Callithrix jacchus: one gene and its partner. The protein of the gene in region 1 interacts with the protein of each later gene in a biochemical or structural test. Links are inferred from orthologs where the notes say so. Each region holds a gene or a part of one and is shown on either strand. Other genes may lie near its edges.

What was found.
Region 2: the proteins of CD6 (region 1) and ALCAM form a complex in vitro, tested with the Homo sapiens proteins (4 studies listed by BioGRID and IntAct). The link is inferred for Callithrix jacchus from reciprocal best matches to the Homo sapiens genes CD6 and ALCAM.

Annotation. Positions count from the first base shown.
Region 1 is NC_133511.1:118,043,582-118,048,843, reverse strand, and holds part of CD6 (T-cell differentiation antigen CD6), read right to left. Parts: intron 4,441-5,262; coding exon 4,372-4,440; intron 4,118-4,371; exon of another isoform or gene 3,977-4,117; intron 3,221-3,976; coding exon 2,867-3,220; intron 2,251-2,866; coding exon 1,939-2,250; intron 960-1,938; coding exon 657-959; intron 1-656.
Region 2 is NC_133516.1:96,593,430-96,598,691, reverse strand, and holds part of ALCAM (CD166 antigen), read right to left. Parts: intron 4,344-5,262; coding exon 4,216-4,343; intron 2,688-4,215; coding exon 2,555-2,687; intron 1-2,554. UniProt on the Homo sapiens protein: Cell adhesion molecule that mediates both heterotypic cell-cell contacts via its interaction with CD6, as well as homotypic cell-cell contacts. Promotes T-cell activation and proliferation via its interactions with CD6.

The DNA of each region.
Region 1 (5,262 bases):
ATTTGTAACAAGTGTCTGAACGCCGTAAGAATGCAAATATCATACTTCTTCAGGTCAAACACTCAATTTTTCCAACTTTAACACGTCTGAAATTAGGATCGTGGCCTTGATCATTATGTTGGGTGGTTTATTTTGGCAGTGTTTGTTCTTTATGGTACATAACATAATGGTGCGACTTATTAACAACGCCATCTTAGATTTGGTGAAATATGGTGAACCCAGCTCAGAGTGGGTATGAGGCTTAGCTGAAATAAGAGCTACTGAGTGCTCAACAATGCCTAGCACGTGATCAGGGTTCCAGAAGCTGTCACCAATATTATTAGCAGGGCCCGCTAATATTATTTTTACTGTGATCACCAGGCCTGGGATGGCAAATTGGTTTCAACTCTTGAGTCAATCCCAGTCCATAGGAACCATTGCTTAGCACCTAACATCTTCATATGTGATTCATCATTCTGGGTCTGAGTGGAGCATCTGAAAATGCCTTGATTGATTAGCACTGTCCGCCTGGGCACAGTAAGGACAATGGTCCTTCTTACGCCCTATGTGCTGTTGCTGATCTGGTGCGTATTGTGGTCCTTGGACTGTAAGTTTTTAGGACATGGATTCAGGTAGAATTCTGGCTCAGATCTGGGGAGTGAAGTAGGATGAATTACCTGAGCAGAGGACCCTGGCTGCCAGCGACTGGCTGCAGAGGTTGGAGTTGTTGAACCGCCAGGAGCAGTTGGAGAGAGTGGGCTCCTCCCCGTTACATGAGTAGTACATCCGGCCGGCCAAGGAGTGGGGCAGCCCCTTGGGTCTCTCCACCACAGTGCCACAGCCCAGGGTCTGGCAGAGCACCTTGGCCTCCGACGTGTACCACTCACTGTCACACACCGTGTTCCAGACCCCTCGGAAGTGGACCTCCACCTGCCCCTCGCAGGCGTCAGCACCCCCAGTCAGGCGCCAGGACTGGTGCTCTGGAAGGAAGGGGCAGGAGGCAGAGTCAGGTCAGGATCCTTTGGGCTGAAATTCCTGCCAGCCCAGACCCAGCAGTGTAGGCACCAGTGCAGCCATTTGGTCTTCAGATCTTGTGTCTTCTCCCTCCTGTGTCTGTGTCCCCCGAACCTGCCCCATCTGCTCTAGCCAGCCCTGCTGGGATCTCTAGACCCTTGCTACCCTAAGTGTGGTCAGTGCAGCAGCAGCAGCATTGCATTGCCTGGGATCTCCTTAGAAATGCAGACTCTCCAGCCCTGGGCCAGACCTACTAAATCAGAACTACCCCATCTCCTCCATATCAAATAGAGGCACTGGCTGGTCCAGAGCCTTCTGGCCTCTCCTGAACAGACCAACAGCCTCCTTAAAGGCCTCCCTGCCTCGTCTCCCCTTGCTGATTGAATGCAGGAGTCCAACTCCCACTTGGTAAGAGTCCCACTTTCTTTTTCTCGCTCTGTCGCCCAGGCTGGAGTGCAGTGGTGTGATCTCAGCTCACTGCAGCCTCCACCTCCCAGGTTCAAGTGATTCTCCTGCCTCAGCCTCCCAAGTAGCTGGGACTACAGGCGCGTGACACCACGCCCAGCTAATTTTTTGTAGTTTTTTTTTTAGTAGAGACAGGGTTTCCCTGTGTTAGCCGGGATGATCTTGATCTCCTGACCTTATGATACACCCACCTCGGCCTCCCAAAGTGAGTCCCACTTTTAATGTCACCTCTTCCAGGAGGTGGCCTGCCTTAGCTTCCAGCTCGGCATCGCCTGCTGCCTCTAAACTCCACCTGACTGCCTTTCTTGGGGGCATTTACCACTTTCTCGCCTGAGTTATGTTTGTCTCAGTCTCATCTCCCTTCCTGAACTCCAGATCAACGGCAGGTAACATCTCTGCCGCACTAACTCCAGGCTTGGCGCCGGTAGGCCTATGGTGAGTGTCAGTGGTGACCATGGTTCAACGACTCCGCCCACTGACCTGAGCACACCACGCCCGCGTCCTCTTTATGGCCGCAGTAGCGCTGTCCCGGTAGCCCCGGGCAGTCCCACAGGTAGACTTCGGTCCCGGAGCAGTTCACCTGGTCCCGGTGGATGGGCCCGCGGCCGGGCGTGAAGTGCAAGCCGGGCAGGGCCTGGATCGCCCAGCCGCAGCCCAGTTGCCTGCACACCACGTGTGCGTCCTCCAGGTCCCAAGTGTCATCGCACACCGATCCCCACTCGCCACGCTCCAGCATCTCCACACGGCCGGCGCAGGGGCTGCCACCGTCCACCAAGCGCAGCGCGCGGTTCTCTAGGGGTGGGAGGGAGTGGTGGACCGTGGGGCACTCGGCGAGGAATGGAGGGTTGGGGTGATGGTTGGACTGGCAGGAGAGTTTTGAGCGGGTTGTGGACCCAGTGAGAGGGCTGTTGCCTGGTGGGCGAGACTGGGAATCCCCCTAGGGCTGCAGATAGGAAACGTAGAGATGCAGGCTGGTGGGAGGGACCAGAGACCTGGTGGGTTGGGCCTGGAGGTCAGGTTTGGGGACCTGGGAGTCACTAAGGGACCTGTGAACCTGGCAAGTTTATGTATGGGGTAAAGGGGTGGAGATAGAGGCCCGGAACGGGAGTGGGGAGGGAAGCAGCGGGCCCAGTAAGTGGGTTAGAGACCGGGTTGGCATTGGGAACCTAGGGGTGGGGCTGGGGACCAAGTGTAGGGGTGGAGTCTGGAGGCCAGACCCGAGGAAACGCTCAGGTCTGGAAATGGCTGGAGGCCGTCGTCGGATGTGGGAACCCGGTGCGTTTGCGCTGGTAGGCGGTGGGGTGGAGGTCAGGAGGGCGAGGCTCGGGTCCAGGGGCTGAAGCCAGGGGCAGGGGCTGAAGGCCTGGGCAGTGGGGCAGGTGGGGGCCAGGGTAGGGGGTGCTCGTACCTTCACAGGTGACCCGGGCCGGCCTCCCGTCGCTGCGGCACGCGTGCTCCACCACCTCGCAGAGCTGCCACTCGGTGCCGCTGCACAGGAGGGCGGGCGCCCCGGCCAGAGTGGCGTTCGCGTCGTCGGCGCTGGTGTTCCCGGCTGCGGGCGGGGGCGGCGGCTCGGGGGTCGGCGGGGCGAGCTGGGAGGCGGCCTCCGCCCCGCCGCAGCCCAGCGCGCGGCACACGGCCTCGGCGGCGCGGCCGTCCCACAGCGCCCCGCACGCGGGCTCCCAGGACGCCTCGAGCCGGACCTCCACCGTCCCGCTGCAGCCGCTGCTCCCGTTCGTCAGACGGACCCGGAGCCGCTCCCCTGGAAGTGTTAACCGGAGAACTGAGAGCGGTGGGGCCCGGGCGCGCGGTCGCCCAGGCTCTGGCACTGACTGCGCGGACCGTTGACAACGCCCTGCCTGGCTCTGGGTCTCAGCTTTCCAATCTGCAAAATGGAGCTGGACTGGCTCGTCCTGAGCCCGCCTTGATCTGGATCTGGCCTCTAGACTCCACCCCTACACTTGGTCGCTAGCCCCATCCCTGGGCCCGACCCTGTGGTTCTCCTTAGAGTCAGGAGCAGGTGGGGCTCAGGAGTTAAGGGCTAGAGGTTAAGATGGGGGACAGACAATCAGGGGTCCAGTTTGCACCAATCCTCCTCACTTGCTCCTGTCTCTAGAGGCACCTTTCTGTGAAAGAAAGGGAGAGTTCTGGGTTCAGGGGCCCTGGTTCTGTGGGTGCATGCTTCCCCCTCCCCCTCCCCCCTCCTCTGAGGGTACTGTCCTCGCAGCTGTCACATGACCACAGAACCCTGGAGGATGGGCAAGGGGCTGGCTGTGGGGTTCAAGATGGGTGGCTTCAGCTGATGGTGGTTCTCACTTCCCAAGACCCCCTTCTTTGGGAAGCACTGCCCCTTTTGGCCCAGGATTGCACCCCCAGTGCTAGCATACAGCTTTGCACAGAGTAGGTCCTTAATAAACGTCTGTTGAGTAAATCAAGGACCCGTCTGGTGGAACCCTGCCACCCCCACCAAGAGCTCTTTAGCTTGTTCTCAACAAATCCCCTTAAAATGCTCCAGCCAAGCTTTGCGCAGTGGCAGTATCATAGCCAATGAGGCCTACCTGAGGCACTATTATTGCTAATTGAACACTTTTCCCAATACCCTGCCATGACGACTTGAAATATAGTCAGCATTGGCAATTTTTGGCAGTCTCTACGGGGGCTGAATTAAAAAAAAAAAATACTCCAGCCATACCTGACCATCTGTATGTGACTTATCAGTAGGCTCTCAAAAATGGTAGTTTTAAGATCTCAAAGTGAATTAATAGTGGAACCTCAGGTGATAAGTCAGGAAGAAGTGTTGTCTGGAGTCAGGGAGCCCCCCTGGTATCCTAAATGTGTATTGCCCTTCTTTATTACCCTGGGCGACCACCTGCAGAAAGCTGACCATGGACCCCAGAGAGAATGTTTGCTTACCTGGCTCCCATAGCTCACTGTCTGCACTGCTGGTGTTGAGCCGGTCAGATGGAGCTGGAGACGGATGACCTGAAATTAACCAGCAGCAGCACAGTGGGTGAGTGAGTTCAGGTGTGGAGGCCACAGAGGCACCCTGATGAGTAGGGGGCACTTCCTGGAGCCTGTGGTGGCTATATGAGGCCTTTGGAAAGACATGGTCCTCAGCTTTGGGTGCATTTGCATTTGCCTCCCTTCCCGGTAGGGAAAGTTCTCAAACACTGGCGTTTCAGGATCCTCTGCTTTATCTATTCATTGCACACACATCTTCAGAAATCGGAGTAGAACAGGTAGGACTAGCAGTGGGCATTGGGGCCAGACCTACAAACTCACTTTGTGACCATGAATGGGTGACTTAATCTTTCTGTGCCAGTTCCAATTTGTTAGCCATGACACAGGAAAATATTGTAAGGCTGAAATGAGACAAACTATGAAATATTTGACATACAGAAGAAGCTCAAAAGTGGGAGTGTTTTAGAAAAAAATAATTTGTTTGTAGAATATGTTGAGAATTTCATACCAGACTTTAGAATAGTTGGTACATCCTGGGCTGGGAACCACTGGACTGCAAAGTGCTTTCAGACACTGAGAAACTAGCATTCACTAACGGCTATTCTATGCCAGGTATTTGCATATATTATTCTGTTTACTTTCAACAATGCCATGAGGCAGGTATTAAGCATTCTTATTTTACAGATTAGGAAAAGGAGGCTCCTGTAACAAAAATCAGTCGTCCCTGCCAAATAGTGTCCATTTGTTCCACAGGGGCTACTATCCATTCTGCCCTGGGAGGCTTACCTTTTTGGATTAACCAGTGTCTTCCTGGGTCTTATGGTTTCTGTCTGATTTAGCCAA
Region 2 (5,262 bases), on another chromosome or scaffold:
GAGACAGTTTCGCTCTTGTTACCCAGGATGGAGTGCAATGGCGTGATCTCGGCTCACCGCAACCTCCGCCTCCTGGGTTCAGGCAATTCTCCTGCCTCAGCCTCCTGAGTAGCTGGGATTACAGGCACGTGCCACCATGCCCAGCTAATTTTTTGCATTTTTAGTAGAGACGGGGTTTCACCATGTTGACCAGGATGGTCTCGATCTCTTGACCTCATGATCCACTCGCCTCGGCCTCCCAAAGTGCTGGGATTACAGGCGTGAGCCACCATGCCTGGCCTGCAACAACATTTTTAAAGTTCATCTCTCCTATTAGACTGAAAGCACCACAAGGGTAATGATTGTGACTTGGTTTGTCACTGATATATGCACAGTGCCTGACACATGGTAGACTTTCAAACACTACTGTCGAATGAATGAAGGGAAGAAGCATGCTTTCTCAGTTTCTATTAATATTAAACCATGTACCATCACTTAGAAAAGTGGAGTTTCCTTGGGACATTTGGGTGAATTGTGTTTAGATGAAAATTTTATTCAGGATGAGTTAGAAGCTGTTGTTAGCTGGATAGCTAATTTTCCAGAGAGGAGATTAAAACAATTTTATGGGACAATGACGGACAGTGAAGGCTCTGATGAAGAATCTGTGTGCATATATTGGCAGGAGAATAGTAATGTTCATCAGCAACTAGGAATCTGTAGGCTGTGAGACTTGATGAGCTGTCTATTCTACAAACATGTGCAAGAATGGGTTGGTGCTTCTCTACCCACAGTTCCTTTAGACATGTTTGAAAAGGAAACAAATCTTGTTTTTGGAAAATAAGCAAGCAATCAAAGATAAGTAGGTAAAAATAGGATTTTTGTGTATCCATATAATTTAGAATCAGATGTTGATTTACTTGAAATACTTTTTTTCAGCTTTTGAGGAGCAATAGAGCCTTAAAACTCAATGTTGCAATCTACCTGTCAAAACCAAGATGCATTTAAATTTAATTAAATGCACTAAAATCCAATTAGGCTTTTACACACTTTTGTTTAATTTTCCCCCCACCACCATCACAGCTAATCACGTAGGCACTATATGGCTGTAACCAAGTTTTTTGCTTTGTCAATCTGCTATCTATCCTTCTCTGCCTTATCTACAAGTAAACAAATAAGAGTCCTCTTCTTTTAGAGACCTATGTACCTTGCATCTCTTAAACACAACCACGCCACACTATCTCTAAGGCACTAGATTATTGACTATTGGCACAAAGACATCACGAACAGTGATAACGGAGAGCTATTCCACATGCGGTTCTATCCTCTGGCTCTATTCCCTGTCTTTTATTTTATTTTATTTTCATGGAACCGGCCTGGATAATATTGCTACACTGGAGGCTACTGCTTTCTCCGTAACTAGCCCCTGATGGTAGACACATTCAAACCCAAGCAACATAAGCAAAGAGTAAATGGAGAAATGGCCCAGCTGTGGACATAATAGTCCATGAAATTTACAGGGCTCCCAAGGGAGTGCTCCCAACATCAGACAATCAGAAGCAACCATCTGGTTCCTTTATTCCCCAGTGTGTCCCCTTATATCTCTCTCAGAGTTTTAGACATATGATCCCACATGTTTTTCAAGTATTATGAGTCAAATGAAAGAGTTATAACTATGTACTCAAGACAATTTCTAAAGTCCCTTTATACTCAGAGGGATTGTTGTGGATGATGTCTAGAGGAAACCTTATTGATAGTACTGTTGAGTGCAAAGGACTTACTAGAAAGTTTGTACTATACCTCCAAGCAAGACTGACATTTGCTCAAAGCACTCTGAATTCTAGTGTCACCAGAGTGTGGTATGAATTAGTTTATTGTTTCCATGATTCATCAGGTACATCAATAATATGGACTGTCATGAATTAGGACATAAAGAACTCAAGTTAAGTGTCTGTTATTTATATATGTATTTTTCTGTTACTCTGAGGCAAACATAACTTTTGGAGTATTTGGAGATTAAAAGCAAATTAAAAGTTAAAAAGTTATGTCCACAGTGATTTTCAAACAGTTCTGTTTCCAGAAATTTCCTATCCCTCTATATAGAGGACCATCAACCAATAAATAACTTCTAATTGTCTCTACTTCTTGTTCCCAAAACTGAGTGTATAGTACTTTGTATTGCCTGAGTTTGGGTGTTAATATTATTCTGTAACATAAATGATAATTCTGGGCCAACTGCAAAGCTGGACACTTCAAGAACATGGAAATGTTTTCTTAAAATATATAGTTTCCTTAAGGTCCATATGAATATTGTTTATTGACACCACAAATTGAAGACACTTAGAAGATGGAGATTTACCACTGCCAAAGGTTGTTATTAGCAGAGCCATGCAAAGTTTCAATATTGCAGTGCAAATCTGGACAAAAGTTGAGCTTATCCTGATGCTGTTTCTCTATCACATCTATTGCAACCAATTATTTAAGACAGATATACCTGCAATTTATTTGAAAAGATAGCTACATGAAGCTATTAGAAGCCTTTGAAGTGAAGCTGCTGATGAAGAAATAGGTGACTTACAGTGAACTGTGATGGTTGTTGAAGCAATCATGCTTTTTTTGTCTATCAGGGAGCACTTGTAGTCTCCTGTTGCATTGCGCCTCACATCTGTCAGTGTGTAAGTATTTGAGCTTCTTATTCCTTCGGGCTGTCCCTTTTGATAGAGGCAAAATGTCAGATGATTACACTTGGTTGCTACAATAAGAACAGTTGTATTTCTTGATGAAGATAGCATTTTATCAGGTAAGAAAAAAAGGGAATGTGTTTCATTGATCGCACAAAAAGAGTATAGTTTGTGTTACCAACATGATTCCTGGGCAAATCGTTAATATTTTGGATCTATGGAAGTTGAGAGCTGATTTATTTTCTGTTGGTGACATTTATTGACAGCATGGCTTTTGCTCATGTTTCAAGGGCATTTTATAAAAAGTCCAGTCTTTTATTTTTATGATTTATGCCTTACGTAATTTGACAAAAATATTTGAGGCAGCTTAAAAGGAAATATGCCATATATCCAAATCAAAAGAAAAAAACAGAAAGAAAGGAAAGAAGGAAAGAAGGAAAGCAAAAGGGATAAAAGGAAGGAATAAGAAGAATGAGAAAGAAATAAAGAGGAAAGGAAGAGAGAGAGGAGAAGAAAAAAGAAAATGACAAATAAAAAAGAAATTAAGACTAGGAAAAATATAGCTGATGTAGGAATGATAGATGTTAACGAAGAAAGATATTCAGCAGATATTGTTGCTAAAACTGAGATGCAAATGTGGCTCTGTCATCCCTGATAGCCAAAGTGGAAACCTAATTAGTTTTACATCTTCCTTCTGCAAATTAAACCAAAACAGCAATCGATTTATTAGGGGAAACAAAGTTTTCTATCAGCATAAAGAAATTACTTATACAGTCTTCTGAATAATGTAGTGAATGATATTCTTAAGTACTACCGAGTACTGTGGTAGATGAAATTTGTAGGCACATCCCTGCAGTAAAATGCAGCATTGAGTGACACATGGCTTCCCTCAAGGAGAAAGTGATGTCAAGCACAAGGATGTGGAAGAGCAAACAAGCATCCCAAGACAGAGCTCTCTCCTTGTTTGCTTCCAGATCCTTGTGACATGCAGAGCACATCTGAGAGGAATTTTCAAAGTATCCTCTATCATAGCATTTCCTTCAGCTATGATAGGGAGAAAAGTTGAGGAAATGGCATTCAAGATTATACATAATGACAAAAAACAGCCATTACATTATTCTAAATATAACCTGCAACAGAACTATCCCTGTTTCAGAGGGTCAGAGGTGTGTTCAGGGAAATGTGGGCAGATTTAGAGTCCACATCCGTTCATAAGCTGTCATCAGTTTTCATTTTGTAGTTATCTGCTTCTGAAGAGTAGATTCTTACAGCTTATTTGGATTATTAAACCTTAAGGTTTTGCAATTATGGTTTCCTGTGGTCAGCTTATTTTTTCTTGTTTGTTCTTGAAATCTCTCAACATTGAGGAAAAAGGCAAAAACTGGCAGGTGCAGAAAAAGCTTCCACATGACATTTTATAGGTGGTGTCTCTTGTCCCTAGCAATAACATTTTTCCTCACTTAATCTACCCATGAAGTGCAATTCTTCATGTCAGCCAGAAGTCAGACAACAGGATAAAATGATCGTCATCCAGCTCAAGTAATACTTAAGCACTTACTGGTAAGTAAAACAAAAACTCCTCTGGAGGAGGGTTGCCATTTCCTAAGCATCTAAGAGTGATGTTATCCCCTTCTTTGATGGCATTTTTTGGTGGCAGCACTTGTATTGTCACCTGTTCTGTAGGATCTGTAAGAGTCACAGACACAAGTTAACCATTTTTGTCAAGTACCGAATTACTCTGTGCATACAATGTAAATGACTAAATTATACATAATTTTCTCAAGAAGCTAGTAATGGTAATTGCTTAAATATACCTTTTTATAGACGGATTGAAGCTAATAGCTACTTGCTATACAAGTACTAATCTTAGTTAGGGCAAACTACAAAGAAACCCTGTTACATAAAAATCAATTTCTTCTTAGCAAAATGTCTTTAACTGAGGTAGGAATGGCTGTAATTATTTTATGCATAAAAGACCATAGGAACAATCAAACTGCATGGCTTTATTATAAGAAAATTTAATTACATATTATATGAATCTTACAGTTTGGAAGGACAAAAATCAGCTAGCGAGTAGCTAAAGCTATTAGATGCTACTGTACTCTATTGAATAGTAATACTTCAGATGAAATAAAAAGAGGAGACATGAGCTAAACAACTCCAGCAAGGATTTGGGCATGCAGGAGAGTAGATCTGCTTTAAAAAAAGAGAAAAGATGAATCCTATGAACTCTGGGAGACCCTTGACACAATCAACAGGACTGTAAACGAATTGTAATTTTGTTCTGTTCATTGGAGCCAAGATGTAACTTCATTCAATTTTGTTCATATTTATGGAGAAAATAGAGCTAAAGGGTATGCTTCAGCCCAGGCTACTGCTCAGTAGTAGAATGCTAATGAAATTGAATGCTGGATACAGTGAACCATATCTAGCAAACAGAAAATAAAAGGAGGTGGTGGTAGCAGTTACAGGTGATCCACTAACGTGTCCATTCGTTATACAGCTGGACAATACAATGAATAATAAATGTTGAAATCATAGAGTGCAAAGGTATGTTTTGTAGAATGTTTTCTACAAGACTTAATAATTATTGAAGCATATATCT